Linked DNA regions of Arabidopsis thaliana. The protein of the gene in region 3 interacts with the protein of the main gene of each other region in a pairwise test. Each region holds a gene or a part of one and is shown on either strand. Other genes may lie near its edges.

What was found.
Region 1: the proteins of AT3G48600 (region 3) and NST1 interact in a two-hybrid assay, tested with the Arabidopsis thaliana proteins (one large-scale study listed by BioGRID).
Region 2: the proteins of AT3G48600 (region 3) and MYB117 interact in a two-hybrid assay, tested with the Arabidopsis thaliana proteins (one large-scale study listed by BioGRID).

The regions. Positions count from the first base shown.
Region 1 is NC_003071.7:19,217,852-19,229,214, forward strand, and holds NST1 (NAC (No Apical Meristem) domain transcriptional regulator superfamily protein), read right to left. Parts: upstream 5,066-11,363; 5' UTR 4,972-5,065; coding exon 4,785-4,971; intron 4,474-4,784; coding exon 4,187-4,473; intron 3,690-4,186; coding exon 3,066-3,689; 3' UTR 2,874-3,065; downstream 1-2,873. Other genes in the region: AT2G46765 (uncharacterized protein), read left to right, coding at 2,489-2,713. UniProt on the Arabidopsis thaliana protein: Transcription activator of genes involved in biosynthesis of secondary walls.
Region 2 is NC_003070.9:9,266,578-9,277,369, reverse strand, and holds MYB117 (myb domain protein 117), read right to left. Parts: upstream 6,419-10,792; 5' UTR 6,338-6,418; coding exon 5,941-6,337; intron 5,688-5,940; coding exon 5,253-5,687; coding exon of another isoform or gene 5,242-5,252; intron 5,155-5,241; coding exon 4,907-5,154; 3' UTR 4,657-4,906; downstream 1-4,656. Other genes in the region: AT1G26795 (Plant self-incompatibility protein S1 family), read right to left, coding at 496-951; AT1G26790 (Dof-type zinc finger DNA-binding family protein), read left to right, coding at 2,266-2,430, 2,560-3,513. UniProt on the Arabidopsis thaliana protein: Probable transcription factor that involved in boundary specification, meristem initiation and maintenance, and organ patterning.
Region 3 is NC_003074.8:18,006,890-18,017,116, forward strand, and holds AT3G48600 (SWIB complex BAF60b domain-containing protein), read right to left. Parts: upstream 4,552-10,227; 5' UTR 4,475-4,551; coding exon 4,256-4,474; intron 4,128-4,255; coding exon 3,798-4,127; intron 3,417-3,797; coding exon 3,279-3,416; 3' UTR 3,137-3,278; downstream 1-3,136. Other genes in the region: XTH11 (xyloglucan endotransglucosylase/hydrolase 11), read left to right, coding at 349-538, 625-725, 827-1,017, 1,101-1,452; NF-YC1 (nuclear factor Y, subunit C1), read right to left, coding at 2,004-2,007, 2,349-3,049; NPC6 (non-specific phospholipase C6), read right to left, coding at 4,764-5,233, 5,801-6,303, 6,481-7,070; AT3G48620 (Outer membrane OMP85 family protein), read left to right, coding at 9,286-9,383, 9,540-9,665, 9,733-9,802, 9,875-9,970, 10,075-10,190.

The DNA.
Region 1 (11,363 bases), on a different chromosome or scaffold from region 3:
ATAAAGGTAAAAAGAGCAAAATGGTTGAGCGATATAGACATCAAAGGACAGTGAATTAAAGGAGCATCAAAAAAAAATCCTAATATGCCTTGAGAGAATCATCCTCGAAACTCGTTAGTGTAAGATAAATAAGTAATAAAGTGAGGGAAAACGATGATGGACTTAGGTTAATTTTTGTCGGCAAATCCGTTCTCGTCGGACTTTATCTCCCTTGTGAAGCGGTTTTAGCTTTTGTGTAGTCACGATCGGAAAGAGATGGTGTGTTATAGTCTGAAGTATGCTAGTGTGTTTGCATATACATAATACATGCATGTATAATATGAAACTCCTAACTTTTTTATTCAAGTGACCTTTGATATTTTTAGTTATTTACAGAGTCTATACACCACGATTATTTATTTCAACAAGACAACAACAAATTTAACTTCTATATGTATATACTAATTAATACCGTGGACACGTGCATGGTAATTTTCGGTTCCATGAGATCAAGTTTCTTATTTATACAAATTAGGAAAAACAAATGTGAAGGTTTCACCCAGTACAAAAGTGATAACGTACGTAAAGTATTAGTGGCCTTTTAGTAGTACTACGTAGTTGAAAATTTCAGTCCTTATAATATGTCTTTTACTATAGTTAGTAACCCTTCGAATTTTAATCAATGACATGTTTATGTGTATATATTAATTATGGCGTTGAGGATGAATTGTCAATTTTTCGGGAAGGCATACTTGGATAATTGATCTCTCGACCCATACCTCAAAATTATCATTAGAAATTTTGTGACAAAATAGGGAAGTTTCATTAATTATCTAAGGGGGACAATCCCCATATTGTTTATCTCCAAATGTCGGGTTATAACTTATAATGACGTGTAGAATAAGTTCTTATTACAGATGGATAAGTTGAATTTTTACTCTAGATATATCGAAAAGATTATATGAAGTTTTACTAATAATCGGATGATCGTTATGACTCGAGCTTTTCACAGTAAATAAATATTTAAATATGTATCGCAGAAGAGAGTACTAGTCGTATTTATAGTCGGCTTGGAGCACATTTGTATAAATTATAAAACAATAGTATTATATAGATGAGCCCAATTTTCCACGTAAAATATATGACGAAAATTAACAAGAGACAAATAAACTAGTTTTTAAAAATCAAATATACCACAAGTATATATATGAAACCTTAAACTACCAATCTACCATAAACTTATAACTTACAAAGCTTCTTTACAAAATACTTTTCTATGATATTTTTAAAATAAATTCGAATTTTGATATGTAATACCAAAAAATCAAACAAACTAAAGATGGTACTTGAGAAGACGGGTATTTATTTGACCATAGAGAGTATCTCGTTTTCTCGGTCACTACAAACATATATATGTATGCTTTTAATATAAAGACTTCTTAATTTTTGTTTTTTTTTTGCATAATGGAAGACGAATTAAACTCGGATTGATTATTCTGATCAAGAAGAATTAAATGAAAATCCGAATTTGCTCAATTATGTAATTTTGACATGTTTTTTTTTTGTTGGTGCAAATGATACACATGTTTAAAGGGTACATAATTATAATCAATAAGAGAATATTAGGTTAGCTTATCTTTTTGTACTATATAACTCGATACTATGTTTGAGATTAATAGATTATGATTGATTTAGAATTTTTATTTATTTAAATAAGTGTACTATACGTCGTTTGTTTCTCCTTGAATAAGAACAATTGAAAGCATACTATTATGTCGACTGCTATTAATGATACTCAATCATAATCTATTAATCTCAAACATACAATTGACGACTAATAGTACTTAATTAAGATAACATAGTCCATCAATTTCTGTGCCTACTAAAACACATATTTTAATATGTATCTATGAAGATAATTAGTGTATTATAATATATGGCTAGAAAAGACACAATGTCTTGTATCAAAATTGTCTATCGCCTTTTGGTCGTAAAATATTATGTAGTTCTTGTAATTTTTAATTATATTTTCTAAATTATTTTCAAGATTATGGGCTTATAATTTTTTTTATTTTTTTTCACAGAAAATTAAAATTTTATTGATGGATTAGAACCTTACAAGAGTTGAATTATATAAGTTGGCAAGGGAAAACACTCCTTCCAAAGACTAAGCCGGCGAGCACAATACATCTCCCGGGAACTAAGATAGATCTAAAGGGGAAAAACCCAAATTAAATAACAACAATGATACTAAACCTAAACTTCCCAGATCCATTACTAAAAAACTCAAAACTGAAAAACAAAGTCTAAATCCAAAGTTATTTTAAAAAACAGATCTGAGACTAGAGATCTAACCAAAGAAAATAAAATCAAGACTCTCCTTACCACAAACGGCGGTGAGACATCAAACAACACCCCGAAACCCAAAGGACAAGGTCTCAAGAAGAAAGGAAGGAGAACTAGATCTTCAATGGAGAGAGATCTGCATCTGAGGCGATGAAAGATCGAAATGAACCTGCCTCTGCCATGGTTGGAACGGCCAGAACTGAAGCTGCAGACGAAGGAGACAAACAAGCAGCAAAACTGGAAGAGCAAAGGATTTAGACTTCACAGATCTAGATCTGTGAATTTAGAACAGAGACCGTTGGAAGAAAATAGGATTCAGATCACATTAAACCCACAAGAAAACGAAACTAAAGAGATTACAACAAAGAAATTCCGGTTTTGGTGCTGAAAAAGCCACCGGAACTGGAAACCCTAGGCGGGGCGGCGAAGCTTCTCGTAATATGTTTTTTTTTTCTTCTAGAAGGAAAACTATAAAATTAAATGGAAGACATTTTGATTATTATAATGAAATGTAATGCTCTCCCCAACAATAACGAAATATCTCCTTTTTGAGATCTTTATTCTCCTCTTTTAAATTCTTATATTAATCTATTTTACAATATTTCACATAACCACTGTAATTATCACAAATCTGACTTTCTTTTATATGTTTCAACAACTATATGGTATGATTATATCTTTTTACACAAATGTGAAATGTCTTATGTGTGTGTGCCTCTCTCTCTTTCCCTCCATTTCCGTTATCCACTACCATTCGACACGTGACAAAATGGGCCAGGCGATGACGATAGAGACGACGTCGTCGTATTCCATAGCTCCATCTCCGGTGTATATTCCTGTGTTAAACCGGCGTGGTACGAAGCGGACCGGTTTAGGCTGGGGTACGGAGATCGGACGGAAGGCAAAGCGAGATGATCATGGCCCACGTGGCTCTCATTGACGGCTGTAATTGAATATGATGTGGGTCCGTTAAGCTGCGAGGCCACGAGGCGGTCTAAAGCCGCCCAGCTAGTAACAAAGCTAGTGTCGACCACGTTGCTGACGTGGATATTATGATTAGTGTCGGGAGAGCTTACGTGGCAGTTGTTGATTGCCTGACTGTTAGGGCTTTCGAGGTTTGGGAGTTTCATGAAAGGGTCAAGATTTAGCTCTTCTTTACAAGATCTCCCCATAAGTTCAAGAAATTGGTCGAGAGTATCCTCGTTGAAGATCTGAGATGATGTCGTCTTCGGCGTATCTCCGCCGCCGCTCAGGGAAGCTCCTCCGACGGGACTGTTTAGGGTTTTGTGAAGATTCTTCTTCTTGAAAATACGACACACCACCCATCCTTCGTCTTGTGATGCTTCCCCTATAATACTCACGACCTTAAATATTCAAAAATCAACTAAGATATATTAGCAAAGTTCATGTTTTGCACTAATCCCATTTAGGTTAAAACCAAAAAGAAAAAGAAAATTCATATTTCAGTTTCATGTGCGTCTGTATATGACAAAGGAGAAAAGAAATATTTGTGGGAAGAAGTAACTAAAACTATTATCATTAAATATTGGGAATTTAAGAAAAAAATAATAACGAAAACGAATATGTGATAGTTTTCATAATGTTATTAAAGAAAATTACGATCATACTTTGCATAAATATTGTTTTTTAAAATATATTAATTACCTTTATATATATATTAATTACATGATATTTTTTACTTGTACATCTTATCATCAGTAACAACTTTTATAATGGTCAATGAAATAATAATTAATCAAAACAAAATCGAGATTGTGATGTAAAATGAGATATTCAAAAAAGAGACCAAATCCTTTGATTGAATAACTCGTATTTAGGTTATGATGGAATTAATACATACCTCATGAACGGTGACATCCTCGGGGGAAATAATGTTGTCATCGAGTCTATATTCATGCATGATCCAATCAGATTTTTGGCCGTGAGGAGCTCGGCCTTTGTAGAAAACAAGAGTCTTTCTCATCCCAATTCTACGGCCATTGCTATATATGATCTTGTCGCGGCCAGTTGCTTTCCAAAATCCAGCCGCAGTGGCTCTGTTAGTTCTCGTTCCCGTCGGATATTTTTTGTCCTTGTGGCTAAAGAAATACCAGTCGTTTTGTGGCGTTGTTCCTATTTTACACATCTCTGCATAACGACAAAAATAATCAGAAGAAAAAAACTTAAATAGTAAATTGTATAATAACCAAACCTATGTTGGTCTTTGCAGTAACTAACTCCGAATATGAACAAACAACATCAACAACTAAGTGTAGATTCTCTGTACTCTAGTCATATTCTCGTAAAAGGATACATGAGATCACGTCATGAATCGAAAGTAGTATAGACAAGACAGCACTTTCATATATATGGAAAAATTAATAAATTCGGAAAATTGGATTATGAGAGTGTGAAAGAGAGAAAATTAATTCATAAAAAATTTCTTTATGGAAATAAACCTTGAATGTCCCAAGGCTCGAGCTTGTTGAGATCAACGTCGCGAATGACATCAAGATCGATCTCGATGCTATTAACTTTCTTCCGGAGATAATACTGCAACAGCTCTTCCTCGGTCGGATGAAACCTAAACCCAGGAGGCACTTGAGATTGTCCGTTCACTGATATGCTCATAGATTTTGACATCATCAAAGAGATTCAAGATTAACTCAAAAATCAAGCAAGAATAGAGCATGTGAGGTTTATTTAATTGTAACTATATATCATACTGAAAGTTGGAGATGAGAGAGCTAGCAGAGAATGACTCAATATATATATATATATTGTTGTATAAAAACAAGATGCATGAGGAAAACGCATGTGTCTCCTTGTACACCTTTTTTTGTTTTTCTTAATTATTAAAATTCAACTCTTATCATTAGCTTTTCCATTTGTATTCATTATTTAGTTTGAAAATTAAAATATAACCCTCCAAGAGCAATATATTAATTTCACTTGTCAATTATTAATGATTATTATTCTCTTGTTCTTTTTTCACAATTATTAGTTTCAATTTTTTTTGGCGTCTAGTTTTAAATAGTTTTGCTATTTTATTGTCATTGTAATTAGTTTAGAAATTAAAACGTGGGCCTCACTATAGTGATTTAGTTACACTTATCTTTTACAAGAACTTAAAATCATCAAATGTGACAATATCAGGCATCGTAATTATTTGTGCTAATATCAATGACATAATATCACTTGGACTATTTCAAATACGTATAATGTATGTTGTTATACATTTTTTTTAGTCTTTTCAAAGTTTAGGTTTATCTTATTCATTAATTCTTTAAACTACTAAGAACCATCGTAAACAAAATAAGTAACTTTGTGTATCTTTACATTTGCAACGAGTAAAGAATTATTGTGAAGAAAAAAAGGAAAACATAAAAAAAGTGATATATAGTTGTCGGAGAAAAAAAAGGTGATGTAGTTATCAAAAGAAAAAGAGTAGGCCCCGTAAGGCAACTAGATTGTAGGAAGCAAGCCCACATCGAACGATGACCCTTGACCTTAAAAATCTCTATAGAAAAGCTCCCTTTAAACAAATTAACAACCCACACATCGTAATAGTAATAGATTGTCTTCTTCTCTCTTTTTCTCTTCTAATTCTTGATATTTATACAAATGATATCTCTCTTTATATGCACATGCACACTGTATTTACAAAATAAAGTCGAAATAGGGTGTCTTAAAAAGTTTCCCTCCGGAAGATGTGGCTTTTTTCATCGATAAATAAACGTTTACACTACAAAAGTTTTTTTTTTTTAAACGAAAAGGTTTGATCGTTACAAAAAAACTAGTTGATGTGACAAAGAGTGTTTTTTTTTGGGATGTGACGAAAATTTATAAAAATATATTAGTAATAATGTGTATATGTTATATATGGGAAATTGTCTTCGAAAGAAAGTGGGAAATAATGCCCCAAACGGTAGATATAGTTTGGTGTTCGAGAGATGATAGAGTTGGGTAATGAGTGTTCCTGTCCCGTCTGAAATAGGATTAACAATCGATTTCACTTTTCTTAGCTAATGAAAATCTCTAGAGTTATACGTTTATTTATTTTTCAAATCTTTGCTCGATCGTTCGAGATGATTTGTAGTATGGTTAGTGCAAAACGAATGAGCCTAATTAAGGGGTGCTGTTTTTATTTTTTTAAACATTTGGTTGTTACGTTCTGTTAGAGACACTATATAAAGGTGAGACGACAGAAAGGTAACGATGACGTCAAAAACCACATAGTTTTATCATTTAGACTGTGGAATTGTATGTGTAAGTACGTGTACTTGTGTAGAAACGTAATTAAGAAAACCAAAATTAATGGAGCTAAGGAGTGTTTATGTGGTTGGAACTAAGACTTTATTTAAGATTAGTTAAGAGGCCTTTCTGCATTTGTCTAAACACAGAATCATTTTGTTGCGTTTTCGGAATTCCATGCTTTTAATCATTATTTTTTTAGTTTGATTAATGACATTGCACCCAACTTTTTTTGTGTCTTAAGTCCATGTGTTTATTGGTTGCGCTATGAAAATCCAAAGTTTCTAAGTACTATATAAAACGGGAAAACTGTAGAAATTTACAGGTCATGATTCTTTCCAGTAGCCAGTACCATGCGTTTTCTAATATATTTTGTTTGATAAAAGTTGTTTCTATTTTAAACGTAACTTTTGATTATTAAATACGGAGATAAATAGATAAACTAGTACTCAGAAAGATATATTACTTGAAGAATACATTTTTTTTAGAAATTATGTATGTGTGATTTTTTTAATTAACGTTTGGTAAAAAATAAAGTATAAGAACTAAATAAAAGAAATTTGCGTTGTCTAAAATATTCTCACTCCTCTATTATTTGTGATAAATAAATTTATAATATAGTTGAATTTATAATTAAAAAGAAAAAGTAGGTTTGATTTCAGAATCTTCATTCTATTTTGGTAGAGTTTATGGATTTTTGTACATTCATATGTTTGATTGACAATATTTAGTACTCGTTTTTTTCATTGTGAAATTGTACGAATGTAACATTATCATCATGTCAACCCGAATCAATAGAGTTCAAAAGTAAAATTTAGCAAAATTTTAATGTTTTATGTACTCCATATATCTATTTTTTTTTCTTCCCAGTCTTGTGAAACCTTCATTGATTCTTAACAAAATTGATAACTTTATTTTTTTCTCAGTTGTGTTATAGTTTAACTCTTTATCCATATATAACAACAACACGTGATTTGATTAGCAATTTTAAATCAATGATTAAATAATAGTATATGACTTCGTTGAAATGTTTTAAGTTTCACAATAACCAAGAATAATTTCCAAGGTATATTATGCATTTTTATTCGTACTCTTCCATTTTTGGTCTTTCTATATAGTCTATATTCCATCAAGATGCATATACAGTATCTAATATAGGATTAAGTCTGGATGCTTGGCAAAAACAAAAATAAGGGTTTAAATCTGGATGCTGATCCAACTCTACAAACAAATAGTTCTTTACAAAAATTTTTGTTGGTAGAATTATTTAAATTTCTAATATATGCGTATCTTTAAGTAAGTTCTGAGGGCATTACTTATATATTGTTGGTGTTTTTTCCATGAGCACGTGAAGTATTGTAGGTTTCATTGATGCCTATGTCAATTATTAGTTTACAAAATGATGTCACAAAACTGTCACATGCATATATTAATATACATATCTGTACGTTCTCAACGCCGTGATATTTTTATTTATTCACTTGATTACACATTATTCTTTTCTACTATATTAAATCATATGCTAATTAACCTTAATATGTTAGGGATATATCTCATAGTGTAAATTGGTTATTATTTATTTTATTTTAAGAGTATTTGTTTTTCATGGTAAACGATACATTTGGTGATGGATAATAAGTAATGAAGGAAACTGATAGAAATTTTGTTTCTAAATAATAAAAACTTAAATTTGGAAACTCTCTAGAAGATGAAGAAAGTTTGCATGGGAAGCAATCTTAGTTTGGTGAATTTTCGTCAAAATATGTTAAGCCTTAATGGGTGAGACGTCATGACTCCACACTCCGTTTTCTTTAATGGCGAAGGGCAAGTCTGTAGTTCCATAGACTTTGGACCCTTTCACGATATCCACGTGTATTTTGTAATATTTCTCTTCTTTTAATGGTTTTGTAATTTGTTTAACATTTTTTAAGGAGTCTTTTTGCTAACGTCGATTTATATAACGTAGTACTAATACTTTCAAAAAAATTAAAACACATTTTTTAAAACAAAAAAAATTTCCTTAATAAAACTAAACTCGAAGTCTGGAACTAACACATTCAGACTCATAGTAGTTTGTCTCTAGACTCTAGTCGGACGTCGCCAAAGTTTGACTTCTTACATTATGCAAACCATATATGTGTTCAAATATTGATATTTGAAAGGATAGAGTATGATGTATATGACGCATTTCGTTTTATTTACATGATCACCCAATCGATGGTTACATAATTAAGATTTGTCCCTTCGTAATGATTGTGTCCCTATAAGCTGGCAATATATATATAGCAATCTTTTGTATAACTAGGTGTCCTAAACTAGAGCATAGCGGTCTGCTAATTTCGGCTAAGGCCTGAATCGTTAATGATGGAATCAGAATGTACATCTCATGGAAGTCGATATCGTTCAACTTATAGAGATAGGCACATGTTAGGTATCTGAATGCTTTAGTATCAAAATTAGAAGCTCTCTTCCATTGACTAATTTCGTAAAACATATATACGAAGCTATCAGAATCAATGTTTCATTGTACGGATTACTATGTTATGTATTAACAGTCAGTTACTATATTTAAGCAGATCATAAGAAATGAATAAATTTTCCAAATATATATATTTAATCAGCTAAACTGGTTAAAAAGAAACTGATTCAATACATAATAGATTTGAAGTCAGTTCAAATTACGTTAACGGAAGAGTGTGCTTTATGTTGCTGGTCTACTATATGTATACATTCCAAAGAAATGAAATTTCGCACAGTTCAAAACTTTATGAATCAAGCCATAAAATGTGACACTCCGTAAACTCCATTATATTACATATGAGATAGTGTGAATTCTGTATACATAGATTTACTGGGCTTTAGAAATGGATTTTAAGCCCACAAATAGTCTTGCTTCATTTCAAGAGGTGGCCAGTAGTAAAAAATAATAATATTAATTTTCCTTTTTGATAAAAATGATTTACTCTTTTCAATTAAAGTCCCATCTGCCAACGAAGATTCCACCACGTGGCAAAGGAAACGTTGACGGTCAAAATAACGGGAATCCGTATCATTCGCTGTCACGTTCATACGCCACGACCAATCAACAGCGTTTATAACGGATTTTCAGACTTTAAGGAAACAAAATCGCTGGACACGTCACGCGTCAATTTTTGTACTGTAATAAAAACATCACTCAGATCAATGATCCCATGCACGCGGGACCACGTACGCGTGATAAAGTCTTGTGATACACACCGTTGGATGATAAAGTGCAATCCATCTAACGGTGATTTTGTTCAAGTTGAGAATAAAATAAATATTTTAGTTAGAATACTTTTTAATACTATATAATAATATTGGGAAAGTGGCTGAGCATAAACATGTGCATGCCTGCCTGTATCTTGCAGCCTTCATGTGGATTTATCAGTGCGACACTATCCATCATCAAATAACTCATATCTACACTTTCTTTCTTATATATGTGAAATTTATACATTACATTTTGTAAAATAAATATTTATATTCCAAAAACAACGTAGTAGACGTGCCTCAAAATCAAAGAGATGTGGAACGGCTTTAGAAGCAAAATCCAAAATTGGAAAATAATGATAATTATTGCCACAAAATATTGATTACGAAGGTGATATATATATTAATCACTGATTGATGTTGTTAAGGAAAAGAATAAAGTTTTGGGCTACCAAATTTTCGAATGTTGAAATTGACTTTTACATCGTGATCTGACAAACGCATGTGTTGATTCAATTGTTCATAAATCACAATACTTCAAAATTTCAATACGTATATTTTTTCATTTCACTAATCACTAATACATTGGTACGTTTCTATAGATTTTGCCACTAGCAAGTTTTAGCAAAATCTGTTATCAGAATGCTTTAAGTTGAGAAAACTGCTAATGCTATTAAAAGAAACGGCTAATGATTGGTAGACGCATCGATCGATCATTCGTTGAGAGTTTTCAACAAGGTCTAAATAAACTATTTAAATAAAATATCATAGACTATAAAATGGAAACGAAAAAAAAGAGCATATATTTCCACAATTACCGTTAGTACTTAATAGTAGTAGTAGTAAACAGTGACACATGATACATTTTGACGGCTCTGATCGAATAAAAAAGAAAGTTGTACTAACAGACTTTATTAAAAGACAAGCTACAATGATTTTTTTTTTTTGTAAGGATAATATTTTTTTTTTATAAGAAAACTGAGAATAGGCAATTTCTGCAAATGTTTTGAGGAAGACAACCTGTCTTCTGTGTTAAAAACCAGGTCTGCCCTACATTTATAATTATTTCATTGTTTTTTTATAATAAAGGGTTTACAGTTAAAATTCAAAAATACAAAACATCCAAAAAATTCGAAAAAAGGAAAGATAGAATTTAGAAGATTGTGCCACAAAGTCAAGACCCACAAAAACATTTTTGTTTTGGGTTATGTACTGCACAAAAAAAAGTGTAAATAATTTAAAATAAACCCAAAATAAAATAAAATAGAGAAAAATTCAGCAGATTATTCTCTTCGATATGTATTAAAAAATTCTCACAGTTATTTTTATTAATGCTTGGAGACGAATGGTCAAAGTTTGGTTTTATTTTTTTGATAATAATGAAAGTTTAATTATCAAGAATTTTGCAGAAATCAAGAGAGAAGGTTGAAGACAGCGAAGCAAATGTTTATGTACACAAGAGACGCATAAATATATAAAATACAGCGAAAAAGGTAAAATTGGGTCTCTGGCTTTTCCTCATATTTTCAATTGCTTCTCTCTTCTCTCTTCTA
Region 2 (10,792 bases), on a different chromosome or scaffold from region 3:
ATTACTTTGAACTCTCGAAGACAATGAGAAATATTCTTACGAACACATTAGCTGTAGTATTGACCGCGATCTTTATGCTTTCCATGAATTGGTGAAGAATTGCTTCCTTGTGGTCAAAATGTATGTGCACAAGAACATTCGCCGCTTGAAGCAAGAAATCATGTTAGGTGTCGATGATAAGGTTTTTTTACTTCTTCCGGATTTACATGAATAAAGCGGTGAACCATACCATATTCATATGATTGGGGAAGGCGATATACCCAAATAAACAAAACTGTGAATCATTATCACAAGATCGCCTTGCCATTAAGGTCGTGATGAATGTGTCTTTGACGTGAATTCAGATTTTCATGGTTATAAGAATAACCTAATCTATTATCACACATGAGAAACTAAAAATAGGTAACCACAAATTCAAACACAAAATTATTTTATTTTATTATTACTAAAGTAAATGAAAGGGAAAATACAAATATCTTAAATATTTTTAGATGACTAAGAAGCCCAAGGAAAACACTGAGGTTGGCCTCCATCACGTCTATCACGACAAGGAGCTGGCTCATAAATACTCCATATACATTCGCTGCAAACTCCATATTTACCGCTTGGATTATCGTCTCTATCAGCTCTAAAAATATCAAACGTAGCTGTATTGCCGGGCCACTCGAAACTGCAAGTGTATGTTGTTGTTTTACGGAGATTGACACGAAACCTGAAATCAAAACGATCTAGAGGGTTGAGTCTTATTACCCCTAAATCTTCCCCTTTGTTAGTACAATGTACAATCAACGTTGCACGTGTGACCAATTTGTTGATGATGATAACATGTTTACGTGCGAATGGTAAAAGCCCATCGGGGGACGAGTGATTTGTTAATGATGCTGACGTTTTGAGGATAAAGAAAAATAAGAATAATACAAAAATAAAATTTTGATTGGTTGAGAAAGCCATGAGTGTGTTTTACTTTTAAGAATTTGTGAGATAATAATATTTGTTCTGTTTCAGAAGCAAGAATTTATAGATGAAAATACATTAAATGTGTTATTATTTTTAATGCAAATTATCTTCTGGGATATACGTATAAATCTTTAGTTTGTAACGTAAAATACAATTACAAGCATACTAAATAAAATATATATTTAATGGTTTCTATATCATTATTCTTTGGCAACAAAAATGGTCAAATTTATGGAATAATGCAATGTTAGTATGAAATGGTTTCTATATCATTATATTTAATTATTAACAACTATGCAATATTAGTTTGAAATTGTAACGTATGTGATACTAAATAAGTGCATGAATCACGCGAATAAATCAAATTATTTTGAAAAACTGTTAGAGCAAGATCTACCTTAAACCACAATTTATTGATTTCTTTTCTAGCAACAAAACGTCTTTTATCACTCTAAACCAGCTTCAAACACATCGTGCACAACAATGTGTTTGTATCTCACGATCACGCATGTGAGAAGCTAAATTACCAACGTTGTAAATTTTTCTCCTATTAGATAAATAATATAGAGTAAGAGTAAAAATAAATGGTCCAACATGGTAAACATAGCACTTTACCAAGATTTTAACCACCGCAATCTTGATATCATCTCGAGGAGAATGATGATTGTTGTCTCGTCGCTAGGGATGACAAGGAGAAAATAGTTATCGATATTTTAGTTATTTGTATAGAAATTAGTTTTTATAATCGATGTTTTGGTTATTCATATTGTAATATCTGATTTTGCTTACCCTAGCAACAATTTTTTTAGTAGTCAATATTTTGGTTATTCGTATAGAAACCAAAATATTTTGTACTCATTCACAAAACCACATTGGAACATCTGTAATATAGCATTTTGAACTGATGTATGGCAGCTGGCATTTTTGTAAATGTTTTCGCATTATTGTATTTCTAATTTTCTGTATGAATATTCCAAAAGAAGTTGTACATTTTAATGAGACGTGGCTGACAATAAAGGAGGCAAATCTTTTTAGTGGCACTGAAAGAGAGATCAAAAAGAGCATGAAAAGAGATAGCAAAAAGCCCACTTTTTTGCAACATGTGGCTCTCTCATCTCTTCATGTCCCTCTCTAAGCTGACGTGTAATTTCTCCATTTTCTCTGTCTTTATGGCTTGTGGCTCTGTGTGATCCGTTATTAATTTAATACCAACCTCAGCCTCTTATACATACTCTTGTCTCAGACCTCAAATAAAGAATAAACACATAACACAAATCTAATCTCATACTCCATCTTCTTTTCTGTCTTATGTCTTCAAAGATTGGTATGTCTCAAGTTAGAGATACTCCGGTTAAATTGTTTGGCTGGACAATTACACCGGTTTCTCATGATCCATACTCTTCTTCGTCCCATGTTCTTCCTGATTCTTCCTCGTCTTCCTCGTCTTCTTCTCTATCACTTCGACCACACATGGTATGTTTCATGGTCTTACCTTTATTTGTTAAGAAATGCTAAAGATTTAATATTTTCTCTAGTCCTTGTATCAGTTTGAAACTAGTTCATGATGTTAATCCTAATCCAAGTTCCTTCAATTTTTTTCAGATGAATAACCAATCTGTTACTGACAATACAAGTCTTAAGCTGTCATCTAATCTTAACAACGAGTCAAAAGAAACATCTGAGAACAGTGATGACCAACACAGCGAGATCACAACAATTACATCGGAAGAAGAGAAAACAACTGAACTGAAGAAACCAGACAAGATTCTTCCATGTCCGAGATGCAACAGCGCAGACACCAAATTCTGTTACTACAACAACTACAACGTTAACCAGCCACGTCACTTCTGTAGAAAATGCCAGAGGTATTGGACCGCTGGTGGATCCATGAGGATCGTCCCGGTTGGCTCAGGCCGTCGCAAGAACAAGGGATGGGTTTCTTCAGACCAGTACCTGCACATCACTTCCGAGGATACTGACAATTACAATAGCTCCTCAACAAAGATTCTAAGCTTCGAGTCTTCGGACTCTTTGGTAACTGAGAGGCCTAAGCATCAATCAAACGAAGTGAAGATAAACGCTGAACCTGTTTCACAAGAACCCAACAACTTCCAAGGGTTACTTCCTCCCCAAGCATCCCCTGTTTCGCCTCCTTGGCCTTACCAATACCCTCCAAACCCTAGTTTCTACCACATGCCCGTCTACTGGGGCTGCGCGATACCGGTTTGGTCTACCCTCGACACTTCTACATGTCTTGGGAAAAGGACAAGAGACGAAACTTCTCATGAAACTGTTAAAGAGAGTAAAAATGCTTTTGAGAGAACAAGCTTGCTTTTGGAATCTCAGAGCATCAAAAATGAAACAAGTATGGCTACAAATAACCATGTGTGGTATCCAGTACCGATGACCCGCGAGAAGACACAAGAATTCAGCTTTTTCAGTAATGGAGCTGAAACAAAGAGCAGCAACAACAGATTCGTCCCTGAAACGTATCTTAACCTGCAAGCAAACCCTGCAGCCATGGCAAGATCTATGAACTTCAGAGAGAGCATATAACGTTAAAGGAGAAAAGAAACTTTGTAGATACCTTTTTTTGTGTGATGAATTAACTTTTAATATCTATCTTATTTATATACCACAATCCCCATTTTGTAGATTATCCAAACAGATGGAAATGCTGAAGTGTAATGTCTTTTTTGGTAAATGTGGTTCGAAAATATTGTTTACTCCATTATTTGTATTTTGTAGTACTAGTGTATAAATTAATTGGAAAAAAAACATATGTGTGAATTTTCATGTAAAGGAGAAAAAGTAGAGAATCTTAACTTGGAGTCCTTGGTACAGAATCCATCTGATTGGTACAAACTAAAAGCTAAAGGAGAAACATAAAAGTCTCTTTCTTTGAAAATAAAATAAGTCTCTTCATTTGCGTATAAAGGGAAACAATAAGAAGAAAACACTTTAAGCACTTTTTTCCCCCTCTCTTTAAGCACTTTACTTTGGGAGAATTACTAAAATGAGTGGAAAAATGTTAATTAGTTTTAGAATAGTTTTTATCTTTTCGAAAATCACTTAATATTGACTTCACTCGGATGTTTGTTCCCAAAAAGAGAGACTCGAGAACATCTCCGAAATAGATTGGGCCTATTGAAGCAATTTCAGACCCAATGGGTAAATTAAAAATCTTCTCTACAACAACCTTTCAAAATCCGAAAAACCCATACATTTATCCACGTTATATATTATTTTAAAAACTCATATTCAAAACCAAAACTAATTTTTTTCCTTTTTTTTTAACCCAACCAAAACTATACAAAAGAACAATTCAATTTAAATTTTTCTTTTATATCTACAACATGGAAAGAATTACAAGAAAGAAGGGCATGTGTGGGTCCGCGTGACATGAGAGAGATACATAGGTAAGAAGCTTGAAGAGTTGGAAAAACGGTTTGAAGAGAAGAAACAAATGCAATGTGTGTGTGAGATTTGGTGAGCATGTTTCATGTTTGGCCTTTCTGTTGCACAATCTCTGCCTCAATTTTGGCAGTTCCTCTTCTCTTAATTACGCATCTTCGTCTCTTTCTCCAACTCCTAGAAACTCCACTCTTTTTAATTTCCCTTCTCTCTCTCTCTCTCTCGTTGTTATTCTCAACACGTCTTTAGCAATATTTCACGTCACTTCATCATAAAAGAATCAACTTTTTAAAACCAATCTCTCTTTGTTAAATATTTCTGAACGAGTACTACTAAAAACAATGACTTATCAAATGTTACACTAGACAACCAAGTGCCAACAACAACAATCTACAGTTTAGTAATTAACGTAAACGCAAGGACAAAGGCTAGGATCTGGTTTGTTTGTTTTCTAGCTACTAAAGCTAAATGCTATTTTTTTTGTAACCAAATTTAACCACTGTCGTTATCTGATTAACACCAATTTGTTCAACATTCACGCCGTCCCCAAGCCAAGAAAATCGAAAAAATGTGGTTGCTGCTTAGCCTTTTCGAACACCTCCTCATCTACCGCGTCCATTCCGATCCAATGCATTGCATCATTTGGCTCCGGTTTCTCTTGGTTACTAGGGTCAATGTGCGGAATATTGCATAACGCGTCTGACGTGGCACCAACGTTATCGCCGACCATCATTTGGTTGCCAAACATACTCACAACCATCGGAGGTTCATTGTTCTCATAACCTGAACGTTGTAGATATAACAAAAACCAAAAAAGAGTTCAAAATATGCAAAAGACAATTGAAAAAACTATTGAAAGAGGAGGAAGAGCTATAGGCTACCTTGAAAGCAATGGAAAGGCAACACAAGCTGGTTATGGTCACTCGTGATAGGGGCATTATTAACCAGGTGATGAGTCAAATTAAACTCGGGGAAAGGCTGAGCGAAGTAATGATTAGTGGAGATAAAAGAGTGGTAATTAGGGTTAGGGTTAGGATGATGATTATTGGTGAGGTGAGGTTTAAGTGGATTATTACTCATAAGCTTTCTCCTACGGTAAGCAGAAGAGTGTTCTCTATACTTACGAGCCATGACAACATGCCAATGGTTCTTCACTGAATTATCAGTTCTACCAGGGAAAAGCCTCGCAATCATTGCCCATTTGTTACCATAAAGCCTATGTGCTTGCATCAGCCTCTCCTCTTCTTCTTCTGTGAAAGCTCTTCGGTTTATCCTCGGGTCCAATTGGTTAAACCATCGTAGTCTACAGCTCTTCCCTTTAAAAACAATCAAGATTAAGTTAATAAAACTCAAAAAAAATTACGTTAGGACTTAGATTGGACATAGAAGGCTAAAGACCAAGAAAACTAATAAAAACAAAAATTGATTTTATCACCGGATCTTAAGAACTTGACAGATCCAGATGAATCAAACAAACTGGTTTTGATGAAATTTTGAAGATCTATAAGGTTTTGATTTAACTTGCTGTCAAAAGAAATAGAAAATAAATAAGGTTTTGATTTAACTTACCAGATCTTCCTTGAAGCTTTTCAGCTATGAGGTTCCAGTTTTGTGGGCCGTAAATGGAGACAAGCTCTTTGAGTTTAACATCTTCAGCTGGTCTCCAATGTCCTCTCCCCAAGACCGATGGTTTTGAAGACGACGAGGACCAAGACTGACCACTATCTGTTGTCTCCTTCTTACCACTCTCGCTGTTACTGAAATTAGGGTTATTATTATTACTCTCTTCTTCGTGAACCGCTACATCTCCAAGAGGACTCTTCAAGATTTCAAACTCATGACTTGTGTTGCAGTGACGATGATGATGCTGATGAATATTAATGTCGTTGAAAGGGAAGTCCCAAGAAGAAGAAGCTCTTCTTGCGACGATCTCATCCATCCACACTTGTTTTTCCGTTATAAACATGGAGTTAGTGTTGGGAGAAAGGAAGAAGAAGAGAAGTGTTATTGAGAATTAAGAGAGATGTCACGTCAGCTTATAGACATATACCATCGGAGGAGAAAGACTTATGTGAGTGCATTTGCATATTATATATACACGTACGTAAATGTGTGTCATAAATATTATTTTTTAAAAATAATAGAATATCTTTTGTATATAATGGTGTGTTTGTTACGTATGGCTTTAGGTATGTGCGTGTATGTACATGTCGCGACCGTGTTTTCTGACGACTGTTAAAAAGGGTTATGGACCGTCGTCACGGACTAATTCAAACGACAGAGTTCTTTGCATTTATACATTATTATATATATTACATATACACTACTGTAATAAGTAAGTACAAATGTGTATTATCGATATTCGATTTTGCTGTGGACTGTTATACATTTGTTCAGGTGTACCTAGTTTCATAGAAGTTAAAGAGTTTTTCTGATAAATCATTTATTAAATTTAAAAGTAACTAAGATTTGAAGACCAAGTTTTTTTCCATGTCCATAGATTGATAGTAATTGAAAAGTATGCAATAGTTTTATAGTCGTATTAGGGTTCATAATCAAACGATAACATTAATTACGCTGCTTCTCTATGGTTCCTTATACAAATTTCCTACTTTTATGAATAATTAATGTTTATCTTAGTTTGATGTATAAGATAGTATTTCCTCTTTTATTTAATGAAAACCAATGGATTATGACAAAATAAATTAATGTTGGGAGTGTCGACCTAAAAAACAATGAATGTAGAGAATATCTTGGACGAGTCCGAAATGAATCTTACCGTTATTAGGTGAAATTTATCCTCTATTAATCAATGCATGTTTTATAGGTGCAAGGTGAAAATAATAAAAGCTAATGAGATGAAAGAAAAAAAGCTGAAGCAGAACTAACTACCAAAAAAGGATGAAGGCAAAAAGAGAGTTTACCATTGGGGAATGAGTCGGGTCTCTTCTTAGCACAACCAATTCTCAGACAGCTTTTTCTTTCATTTCATTTTGGGTTCCTTAAAATTTACCTCTTTCTCTCTTAATCTCCACTTGTCTTTCATTCCTTTACTTTTTACTACCATTTTTGTTTCTGTGAAACCCTCTCTTATCTTAAAAAATTAACCACAATCTTTTTTCTTCATTCAATTTTTTTCTTAATTAAACATCGCTTCAATATACTCATTTTCTCCTTGTCATGTTGTATCAAATAATCTTGAAATTTTGACTGTTTTATTCTTTGTAGCAGTCTCATGGTTTTTAATAACGAGATATTACAATGCCAATTCAAAAAAACTCTCAACCCTAAATATCCCACATACATGAGGAATGTGGCCGTGTGGAAGTGTGTATAAGTAATGAGAATGAACAGTAAAAATGTAAAGAAATAACTTTTAAGACCTTTTCGTATTTGACCAGAAATCCCAATTGGCAGACGTAACCATTAAATATGGGATAAATACAGATACAAAAGGGGTCTCAGAACTGTACGATCCTCTGCACAGAGATTTAACCGAACGCACTACAAACTCTCTTTCTCTTCGTCATATTTTCTTTTTAATTGGTCAATCACTTTGAAATACACATTAATATTATATATGAAATATGAAATAAAAGGTTGGGTGAAGAAGTATATATGAACTATATAATTTTATGAAACAGAAAGTTATGCAGCTTTATTTAATTTTATATTTTGCAGAACAAACATTTATAAAAATTGTAATCAGTTTTTTTTTACCGTTTAAAATGAAATGATGAAATAAAATATGGTGAAACACACTATTAATTATGTTTGTTTGTAAGTAGAGCCACTAGCTAAAGTGGGACTTCGATTTGGTTGTTCTTTTGTTTTGGGCTATGAATCTATCTTGTTACTTTGTTTATATCCAGTAGACTAGTACTAGATTTTCGATTCTTTCGTCTAAAATACTAAGTTATTAAAAACATATGTTCTATTTACACATGGAATTATTTATAAACATGTTAAATATTTAAACATACCTTGAAAAGTAAGAAGAGAGTCTAACTTGGAAGATTAAAGGAGTTTGATGTTACTGCTTGATCGAGTGTAGTAGCTTGTTTTAGGGAGTGACTAACAGAATAAGCAACTAAATTACTCTGGAAACAGATGTATGTAAAGCTCATATAGTGAGGGGACAAAAATTATCTGAGGTATAAAATAGATTGCGATCTCATGGTCAATCCGTTTCGGTGGATATATTAGCTACGGTCCATGCGTGACTCAGTCCAAAATTGATTACAAGCTTGAACATACCTTTTTCAACATAGCATTAATATATACTTTTGTCAGTTTGTCACAAAAATACATCAAATGTGTAATAAGGAATCACTAAAACGTTGGAATTAATCCAAAGCTCAATTTTACTCGTCTGACATAATCTAATTTTTATTTTCTCGACCATTCTTTGACCCCATAGCCCATTTAAATTTCACCTAATTCACTTTTCTTGGAATTCTTTATGTCCGTCTACAAATTTTATCAACCTTAGTTATTCATGTGTTACAATGTCCCCTTGTACGATAATGTTTAATTTTGTTACACGTTTGGTCAGGTTTGTGTTTTACTCGAAAGAAAAGTTCGCTTTCAAATAGACTCTTTTCTGACGTGGCATCCATCTATATGTAATATGTTATGTGATTAGTGATCTTAGACTAAGAATAAAAAAGCAAAGAAATAAAATTACTTACATATGGGATCTTTTTTTATTGATTAACAAGAGTTTTTTTTCTTAGATATTTTAGATGTCCTCAATAATTAGTAGTCAATGCAAGTAAACATTGAGTTCTTTGAAAATTAAAATCCGTTTTAAATCAAGAATAAGGATTGGTAATGATAATGAGAGGTGGAGATGATGAACACGTGCACATTTAGAGTAACATAGGATCCAATTCAATTCAAAGGAGAAGTCTTTTCTCTTCAACTGTGATGCGTCCCCATGGTCCGATTTTGGCGTGTGATGTCGCACAACCATCACGTGTATTCTCCTTATCGTACTACACCCACGCACGATCACAATAAATCTATCGAACAATCACGAACACTTAGGGAATATACTTGCTTAGAAAAGAGAAAACTATAGAACAAAACAAAATCGAACTAGTTTGGATTTTGCCTATGTTGAGTTCGTAAAGTATTTAGACTAATATAAAACTAGAAGGTTACGTGTACAATGTTATAAATATTAGGATTACATCACCAAAATATATATGTCATTCAATGGATTTTTAAGACGCTAGCTATAAATAAATTAGCTATAGATATGCATTTCGTTTCACCCATGAGTTTAATTATAAATATTAACTTGTCAATTAATCAAATAATTTCAAATGCTAATCAATCACGTTATTTTGTGAACAACAAAGATCAATTACTTTATGCAAATCAAATAAAAAATTAATCGTCCTATCAACGAGATTTTTCAACTATTAAGATAACTAATGTTTTTATAAAATAACTGAAAATAAGAAGTATTAATTTTGTTCTACACATGCTTTTGCGAAAATTCAAAGTGTTTAACCAATAATCAGTTCAGATTCAATTAGGTCTGATTTGGTTTGAGTGTAAATATATTTTTGTAGTAATTAATGCAACAAGGTGCCGATTTGGTGATTAAAAAGAGGAGAAACTAGTGAGGAAACAGAAGTGAACAAGAAAGTGAAAGAAAGTGAGAGTAATGAAAGGAAGTGGAGAGACAGAGAGGATAAATGGTGGGAACAGATCACGAAGACACACACAAACTCATACTGTTTTTGGAGTTTCCAAAAAGAGATGACGTGAAAGGTAACCAAACAGTAAAGTCTATCTCTCTCAATTTTCAAAGATGAATGAATCAATGACCCATCTAATCTCATAGCCTCCTTTGCCCCTATATCTATTTTCACATCCACCAATAAAGTTTGTCTTAAATTCTACCCTCTTTTCTTAACCTCATTCGTATTTTTGGTTACAATCACACTACTTCTTTGTTTCTATAACCGGAGTTAGTTCAACAAAATTCTTAACTTAACCGGTCCCTTCAACTAATTAGGGGTTTCAATTCTTGGGGCATGTTTTAGTGTTTTCATGTATATATTTTAAAACTTACATGTTTTTAACGGAAATTTTTTTCTAAGTTTACAAAGAAAATTAACAGTGAATAAGATTTAATATTTTGGTCAACAGTCGGTTCTAACCAATTTTATATGAAGGTGGGGAATATGACCCGACCTGAGATCATGCCTATAAATTAAGGCTCTGTTGAACTTGGTACGAAATTTTCTGTGTGTATATATTATAAAATTATATGGAAGGACAATAATGAAGAAAACATTGAGGGTAAAAATAAAATTTGAAAAGTTAAATTATTTATTGAAGAATAAAAACGAAGGAATGTGACAAGTAGTGGGGCGTAAGGGAGCAGCAGAAGACAAAGGCTAAT
Region 3 (10,227 bases):
TTTGTATGGAAAACTTTGTAAGCTAACAAACAAAAGTATTGAAATCGTGAAAAATAGTAAAGCTTTTTGAGCTGCAATATTTGATGCGTTGAAACGAGTTGGAAACAGCTTTCACTACACTAAAAACAAACTTAATCTCAAAATTTAGATGGATTAAACTCAAAACTTTTTAATTAATTGAATAGGATTTTAGGATGATGCAGTGAATATAGACTATTTGGTGAAAAAATACAACGTAACGTACGTGGCTGCTCTAAGCCTATATAACATAGCCCAAGAGAGTCGTGTTCTAATGTGATTAAGTAAAGTGAGGGAGAAGCAACGAGAGATAGAGATAGAGAGATCAAGATGAGAGGATCTGATCAGAAGATTCTACTGATGGTTATGGTGGTTGTAGCAGTTGTAGCTGCGGCTCAAGGCCAAGAAGAGACTACTGGATTCGTGACATGGGGTAACAATTACTACCAGACATGGGGACATCAAGCTTTGGTTATTAATAAAACCTCTGAGCTCCAGCTCACCCTCGATAAAAACTCTGGTTTTCTATCTCTCTTTCTCTCTGTCTACATGTGTCTGTGTGTTTGTGTCTAGTCGATGATTGTGATTGGTCTATGTTCCTTACAGGGTCCGGGTTTGAATCCCAATTGATTTACGGATCAGGATACTTCAACGTAAGAATCAAGGCACCTCAAACTACGTCTACGGGAGTCATTACTTCCTTCTATGTACGTGAATGACCAGTAAACTTAAGTTTGTCTAAAAATAAAGATGATGAGATTACGTACCTGAATAGCTTTTTGAAATCTGTTTTTCTGCTATACGGCAGTTAATCTCCCGTTCAAGCCGCCATGATGAGCTCTGTTTCCAGATCTTGGGAAAGAATGGGCCACCGTATTTGCTGAATACGAATATGTATCTGTACGGTGAAGGAGGCAAAGATCAGAGGTTTCGTCTCTGGTTTGATCCAACAAAAGATTACCATTCCTACAGTTTTCTTTGGAACCCTAATCAACTTGTGTGAGTATCATATAACACTTTTTATCAGATCATCCATTGATTAACATCAGTAACAAAAAGAAAATGTATTTCCACATTTTCAGGTTTTATGTTGACGATACACCGATCAGGGTGTACAGCAAGAATCCAGATGTTTACTACCCATCGGTGCAGACAATGTTCCTAATGGGAAGTGTGCAAAACGGATCGATAATTGACCCGAAGCAGATGCCTTACATTGCTAAGTTCCAGGCATCAAAGATTGAAGGGTGTAAGACTGAGTTCATGGGAATAGATAAATGCACTGATCCTAAGTTCTGGTGGAATCGCAAACAGCTAAGCTCTAAAGAGAAGACACTGTACCTAAACGCAAGGAAGACGTACCTGGATTATGACTATTGTTCTGACAGACAGCGATATCCAAAGGTGCCTCAAGAATGTGGAAGTTACACTTAGAGAAAGATCAATACCTGTCACAGGGTTAAGCCTACAAAACAATTATCTTGAAAAAATAACTTATGTTACTGTAAGATGCTTTATGATAAGCCTTTTCTATCAAATAACAACATTATTGTCATCAATGCTAGATACATTACTATGTCACGAGTTCATATACAGATACCTATTTACACAGAACCAAGTTGGTTCAGATCGGGTTTGCTTGAGGTTTACAAGCACTGAAACCTCTGAAAAGAACCTTACAGGTTACAAGACTGCATTTTCTCAGACATCAAGATAAGTCAAATATGAGAAAAAATCGGAAAGAAGCATACAATAGAAACTGCACATTAGATTATATATAGTTAGGCTAAGTCGCAGCAATGATGGTTTTGCTACAATAACATATACGTTAACAGAGAGAAACAAGAGTTTTTTTTACTCTTCTTTAACGAAGCCTTTTCATTGAATTTAGGCATAATCTATCAAACACATCCAAAATTCAAGGCGAGGTCGACTAATATCTGCTATCTTCAAGCAGGTCAAGCATCATCTGGAATACTCTGAGCTTAACTGCAAAAATGATACCAAAACATTGAAAGGTAAGTTTAAGGAGCCATAGTTCATTGATTCATTCAGATTCAGCAGAAGAGCAAGAGAATCTAGTTGTTTGATATAGCAATGTTTGCAAATTGCGATATGAAAACAATTTTCAAATCTTGATGATTACAGGATTAGAGATTGTTTATCATTCCAAATCCTAAAACCTTAATAAACAGAGAAATCTTGGACTAACATGATTATATCCCAAACAAACCAGACTTAGAGATTGTTTATCATTCCATCTCCTAAAACCCTAGACGATCATGTAATCAATCAATGTATATCACATTGCACAGAAAATGAAACTTTACCCTTGGCCGTCGAGATTCCCTTGACCGGAACTTCCACCACTACCATAAGAGACATCATCTCCCGTCCCCGTCGAAGTCTGCCAAACACTCTGCCACGCCTGAGACGGAGGCTGGACATAAACACCATTCGGATCCATAGCTGGTCTCCCAATCATCATCCCTCCAGGACCAGCTGGTTGTCCCATCGGCGGATAATAGTAAGGCACGCCGCTCGCGGTAGGAGCCACCACCATTCCACCACCGAGGACTGCGGCTTCGTCCTTAATCTCATCTCTAGGAACAATATCAACAAGGAAATCGAAGATATCAGTCCTAGTAATCGCAGCAGCGATATCGTTTTTCTGAAGCGTACGACGTTTATTCTCCTCAGCGTGAAGCCAAGATCTGATCGTGAGCTCGAGAATGAAAAGCTCACAAGCTTTCGCGAAGAGAATCGGTGCTTCTGCGGAGATCATACGAACATCTTCATCGGCTTTCATGATCTTTTTTATCCTAGCTAGTGGAAGCTGATGGTTTTTGAAATCGTTAACTTGTTCGATCTCTTGGCGTTGGTAGGTCCAGAATAGTTGGAGCTGTTGTTGTTGTTGTTGGAGAAGGTGGTGGTAAGAAGCTCCTCCTCCTGCGGCGGAGATGGTGGTTCCAGGTGGTGGAGGAGGGATTCCGGCGGCGGAGGGAGGTGGTTGCTGGTTGTTGGTATCCATTGGTCGGTTTTGGATTTTGATTTTTGGATCAAAAAGGTCGTGACAAGTTTTTGCCAAAGGGATTGGGGTACAAGTGGATAAGGTGGACAGCGATGTAGCTGATGATTTTCTCTCTTTTTTTTCTATTTCCTAAATTAATTTTTTTCTATTTTCTATTTCAAGTTAAATTTTGTTTTTTTTTTACACGTACCAAAGTTCATATGCATCCGAAATGAACCAAAAGAAAACATCAAGAGTGAAGAGAGCTGTCAGGAAAATGTTGCATCAAGAGTGAAGAGAGCTCTTTATTTCCGACTTTGTCTTTGCCATCGAGTATCGTCTTCAAGGTATCATCGCATCGTATCCGCCATTTACTACACTTCGTAATCTACAAATGAAACAAGTGAGCTCTAAACAAATCATAATCTCTAAACATGAAAATGCAATCTATGACCACCAAACAGAGAAGCAAGCACAAGGTCCAAAGCCACCTAAAGACACTCTATATTCGTAACTGGTGAATTCTTCATCTGACAGTGTATGAATTGACAAGCTAAGTTTTCAAAATATGCAATCAGAAAAGACCATTTCCACAAACAAAACCAAAACATTCAAGTGAGTAAACAACATTTTCAGCGTAGATGTCAATTACTCCAATAATGACCAACACAAGAATCAAATCACTACCATTCTCCAGTCTCTAGAGACTCCAATCCCTAAATGCATAAACATGTAAAGAGGAGATCATAAGGAAAGTAAAAAAGCTAACCCAAGGAAACTCGAGCAGAGTAACACCCTCATCTACGAGCTTGTGATCAAAGGCATAATCTAGCAATTTTCTCAAGGCGGCGTCAAAAGAGATTTCGCTTTGGCCGACGAATCTAGCCAGCGGCTCTGAGACTTTCACAATATCATTGAACCCCCATTTTTCTATAGTACCTCCACCGGTAGCCTTCACCTTCGCCGACATAGTTCTAACGTTAGGAAAATGTCGCAACAAAAGCTCCGTCATCTCTCTGACTCCGACGACTTTGTCTTGGCCATCGAAAATCGTCTTCAAGTTATCATCGCACAGTATCTCCTCTATATTCTCCGGATTCTACAAATCAAAGACCTATAAATCAGATACATTGCTCCAACAGAAAGAATCAGATCAAAAGACCTAGAAATCACCAAAAAAAAAAGTAGAATGAAAGGAAACTGGAGAAGAGTTTCGAAATCCCTAACCCAAAGATTGTGATCATCGGTATACTGCTCCACTTTCTCCATGGCGGTGGAAAAAGAGACTTCGCTTTGGCCGACGAATCTAGCCAGCGACTCTGAGACTGGAAAAATCTTATGAATTCCTCCTCTTCTATCAACGCCGGCGCCGGTAGCCGTCGCATTAGTCACCGCCTTCGCCATCAGTGTCCTGCATCCTCCTAGAATCTTAGAAATTGGCGACATTGTTGTTTCTCCTTCACTCCACTGCCCCTAACAATAAACAATTGAAGAAAAGTCTCCAACTAAAGAAATTGATGCAACTCATTTTGGGCCTTGTTGAATATTTATATATGGGCCTAATTGGGCTTCAGTTATATTGGGAGTTTATGAAGATCTTTCGATTGCTCAACATATCACTAACATTAACAATGAATTTTGTCTATTTCTTTGTTCCTCAATTCTAGTTTCCATACATAAAATCACACATTTTCAGATCAAAACATAGGAAGACGAATGCAAACAAGATTTTTAATCAGTTGTGTGGCCGTGTAGTGAGCGAAGATCGCATATCGACAATAGCAGATTTATCGGCACCAAGCTTCATTGCCTCTTTACTAGCTCTAATGAACCGAGAAGTAGCTCCTTTGACATACTCATGAGCTTGTTTCACAGTCATCTTCTTTCCAATTTCTTCCGGGAAGCTACTGAGGAAGTGATCACCATTGAGAACCGCTGCAAGCTGAACCACTTCACCTTGAAACTCAGAAAGAGCAGCGTCTTCTTTAGGCTCAGTGGCTCTCATAGGTGCAACTTCAGGTAGAGTCATGGGACAATCGGTTCGAGGAGTGGTTAAGTGAGATACAACGTCTTCGAAAGTAGCAGCCCATGCATCTCTATGTGTTAAGAAATTGGAAGAGAGATTGAAGAGTTTCTTGATTGTCGCTGGTATTGATGAATGCTCGTACTCTGAGCTCTCTGTTGGTCCTTTTGCTTCACTTACGACTTCATTCAAAACATATAATAAAATAAGATGTTATTAAACTATATATAGTAAAAAAATATTAAAATCAAATGGGGTCAAAGGATGGTTGAAAAACATGAGTCACGCAACGACGCCGACAAATTATAATATACTCCATCTTTCAATGGCATAATCAATGGATTCAATTATTTTCTCCACCATTATTAATGAATACAATCTTATAGTTGTCAAATGCCATCCATGTGATTTGGTTTTTGCAGCCTTAAATTTTGTTAGCAAATGTCAAAAATCTGTCGGAAATAGTAGTAGAAAGTGGAAATACATGAAATACAAATGAATTTCTTTTTTTGGGTTAAAGAAATGAATAGTTTCAATATTAATAATTCATAAGTGAAAAAAATAGTACGTTAAATAGGCATAAATACTACATATAAGTTTTTTGGTCAGTAGTTTCAAAACTATTTATATATCAAGTTCAAAAGCGGAGTGTTCTTGTTAATTTGGAAAAAAGCTTGAGGATTCTACTAAAAAGCAATGCACACTAAGAACAAATTTGTAAAATTATAATAGAGAAAAAGAGAACTAACCGGTTCCTTTTTGAATCCAAGGCGAAACCATAATGGTAGGAACACGAACACCTAACCGGTCGAATTTAAAGAAACCAGGAGCCGGTCCAGTATTCCCATCGGGATTTGGTATACCGACATAAGGAGTCTTGACGTGATCATAGAACCCACCATGCTCATCATAGGTTATAACTAGGAGCGTCTCGTTCCACTGTGGACTCGACCTAAGTGCCTCGTACACTTCTTTAACCAGCTTTTGACCGTTAGCCACGTCATGCGACGGGTGATCATCGTTAGCCGGTAAACCTTTGAGATCGAAATACCTCGGTTCGATTACGGTTAAGCTCGGTAACTTTCCTTTGGCCGCGTCTTTCTTGAATTTCAAATCGTATTGATGCAAATTGAAAATGTACTTTAGCTGTCGGAGATTACGGTAGAATAATGTGGTCGGAATATTCTGAAAGTATATTCCGAAGTCGATGTCGTTGCTATGAAGCGAATCAAATATCGTCTTCTGTGGATACCTGAAATTAAATGATGAATACATAACTATGCAAAATTTTATAATAGTTTATATTATCTCAATATTTTCTATGGAAACTAATCTTAAAAATTCAGTAATCAAGTGTGAAATTAAACTAATGAAAATTAACAAGGACTAATGAAAATAATAATTTAAAGAAAGAATTTGATAATGTTACCCTTGAGCGAGTTGTTTCTTGACATGGCTAGTGGAACCATGTGAGGTAGCCGAATAGACAAATAACCGGTTTGGTTGAGTCGGACCGGGAATTGAAGAAAACCACCGGTCGAACACAGCGAATTCCTTAACCAGCTCAGCATAAACCGGAACAGCTTCAGGCCTAAAGCCTTTCATTACAGTCTCCGACAAATTTCCCGGCATGGAAAGCGCTTGCTCAACGAAACCCATCATGGACGGGATCTGACCCGGCCCAGACCCGAATACTTGTTGCTCAACAGCTTCAAACGAATGACCCGGATCCGGATCCACAAACTCAGCATCACTAGTGAAACATATAGTTTGTGTAGAATTCGGAACCGGGTTACATTCTTGACCCGTTACACCGTTTATTGTCGGGTTTACTGAGTTCTTCATCCATCCTAAGAGATGATCGAAAGATCGATTCTCCAACACTAAAACGACGACGGTTTTGATTGGTGATTGCCATTGATGAGATCCTTGAGCTACATGTGTTTGTGTGAGAAGACAGTAGAGTGTGAGAAAGTGTGAGAAAGTTAAAGAAAATCTTGAAGCTGATGATGGTTTCATGGATGGGTTTTTTCTTGGGAAAAATCTGGTTAAGCTTTTGGTGTAGAATTTGTGTCTGTGGTTTTGTTTTGCCTTAGATTGGTTACATGAAAGAAGAACATAAAGACAGTGGAGAGATAATTGTCTCTTTGTAACCAAAATACAAAAAGATAAAAAGTTTTAAATATATAGTATTATAAAGATTTTGGGTAAATGTGAAGTGTAGAGAGCAAGAACAAAAAAGCTGTGGTGTCTATTTACTGCTTTATTTGTTTCCACTACTACTGCTTTGATTTAGGTGGGCTCGATATGTAGAAGAAGATTCTGTTCTCACTGAGAAAAAGTAACTAAAAACGCAGAGATTTACTCGGTCAATGAAATTCTTGAATTTTGGCTGATTTTATTATTTGTAGCTATATTATAAAACTTGGAAATATATATGCACGTGAAGTCGTGAAGAGTTGGTCTTGAGAAAACCACGTAGATGACCTCAGGGTTGATGTTGTTTTCTTGTAGATTTTAGTGTTACAAGTGGATTCCTAGAGTTCTAAATAGTTTACTAGTTGTGAGAGATCTTGACAAATGTATATCATAACTTTAAAAACATAAATTGGATCCACAATCCATACAAATGTTTATAACTTTATATCTGAGTTTTTTTTAAGGAGTATTGTATAAATTCTCTGTACCAAGAGTATCGGAAAGTAGTATTAATATACTTAAAATAATTGAACAATAAATCATCATCATGGTAGTTACTTTTGTCTAAGGTGCCCCACTGATCTTCCATTAGGAAAAAATAATTGGAATTTGGGAGTTAAAGGAAGAACCAATGCTTAGTGCTTTTTCATTCTCCAAATTTCTTTAGTATTTTTAGTTTTTCTGCCTCAAGTTTAGTGTTTTTAGACCATGTACATAGGTGATATAATTAGAGTATCAAGAGTCACAAAATAATTTTTAATATATCAAACAATAGATTTAGGCCTGATACTGTATCAGTGCAGTGATTCTTTTGATACCCAGTATCGGATGACGTGGAGGCTTATGATTCGTCTGTGAAATTCGTTTTTTTCTGGAAAAAAAAAAACATTTTTCTCTCCGATAGTCTTTCTACTGTTTTAGCTAAGTAGCTACATTTTCCGCAAGTGAGTAATTTTGCCAACTTTTCGTGATTATGCGACATAATTTTACAGTAATTTTGTAACTCTATATTTTTATAAATTTATTTTTTGATTTTGCAAATATTTTTTTTTTTAATGATACCAATATCGGTATCACCACTGGAAACAATTTATTACCAGTATCATAAAAAATCTCAAATAATAAATAAACATTAAAATTAATATTAAAATATTGTTAATGATACTCATAGTGTATCAACTATGTGCATGCTCTAAAAATTGTTAGTTTACCATATATAGTTTATTTTGTGATTCACAAAACAACGGAATAACGAAATTATTTCGAATTTTTTGTAAATTAAATAATTACGTAAAAACGCATTAGAAAGATGTTGAGGAACAATTTCATTTCTTCGCTCTTAATCAAGACCTTATTACAAAACAAAAGGAAAAATGTGTAGGAAAAATGATATCAAGAAAAAGAGTGAAGCCAAAAAAATAGAAGACAAAAACAAGAGACTGGAAAGAATCGCCCCCCACCACAAGTTCACCACTGGGCTCGTGAGTAAGTGAACTGATACCTCATGCAACCAACTAGATTTGGTCGTGTGAACACATTCATAGTATATATTTGTCAATTGAACATAAGCTTTTTAAGTTTGTCTTCTAACCCATTCTAAAAATATATTTAATCTCTCTCACCCATAGTACTGAATTACAAAGGTTTTGAATCGAAGGTATATTATAACTTTTTTTTTTTTGCTAAGTTTATGATTTGCATTATGATCAGCGTTCACATCTTCGGAGCTAAACTTTTTTTAACAAAAAGAACATAGTGAATTTGGCTACGCCACTGCATTTAGCAATCGAAGAAGCAATTATATTTGCTGGAGGCGCCACGCCGCCACCATATGAAACACATATTCAGTCACTAGCAGTCCTCTTTCTTTAGTGATTGGCAGGCAAGTTTTGTGACTTAATAGTGTTGGTGTTCATATAATCTGCAGAACTGAAATGGTCATATCTTTCTTTTCTGTTTGAGTGTTCATTTGGGTCTGTTTGTTGCAGCCTCTGTATCAAACATCCAAATTTGTTTCGAGGAAGCGAGAAGCTTGATGTTTCATGGGATAAAGGGTTGTATGATTCCAATGTACTGGTGGCTTTTAGGAGACCTAGACCTGAATGGCGTCCGCAACAGTGCTTCTTCATACAGGTACTCAACTGATCGGTGAAGCTATCTTAGAAAGTGAATTTTCCAAATTATGCTATGTTAAATACATTCAATTTTTTTCAACCTGGTACAGCATTCTCTTTCGCCAGAGATAGGGGTTCATGGCACCCCAGTTGACAACTTTTCTCGGTCAGGGAGTGGAGGTGTAAATCTTTCTAAATTGGCTGTTGGTTTAGACTTGAGTGAGCCAGCGAGTTCAAAATGGAGCAGCACAACCAGCGTAAAGTTTGAGGTACCCGGACATTACCTTCTTCAGACATTGTAGTACAATATTTTTCTCTTTGCTGTTTTTTGCTTTGGTGAAAAAGAGTATTATTTTCCATTGGTGCAGCATGTGCGTCCGATTAACGATGACGGACGGGCGATATCAGAGATCTGGACGGATTTCCTATAACATGCAGGTGATATTGGATCTCGCTTCCCTTAATTTGTTTCCTTAAGCTCTAGCATAAAACTGATATTTACATGTGTAGAATTCTCTGCTATGCAGTGGAAATACCCATGACAGTATGGTAGTTTTAAAGCAAGAATCCCGGTTTGCAAAGGCTACTGACCAAGGTCTTTCTCATGTAAGAGACTCATTTCTGTTTCTAGCCTAGGAAAACCACACGGCCATTTTTGCACTAACTTGTCGACGTTACTTATCTTTCATACTGGTTTCTTGCTTTTTCAGTTTAGTATGCAAATAGAACAAGGTATTCCGGTTGTGTCCAACTGGCTTATCTTCAACCGTTTCAAATTTGTTGCATCAAAAGGTGTCAGGTTTGGACCGGCTTTTCCCTTAGCAAGGTACTGACAGAAAATCTTACATACTCTATGTAAACAA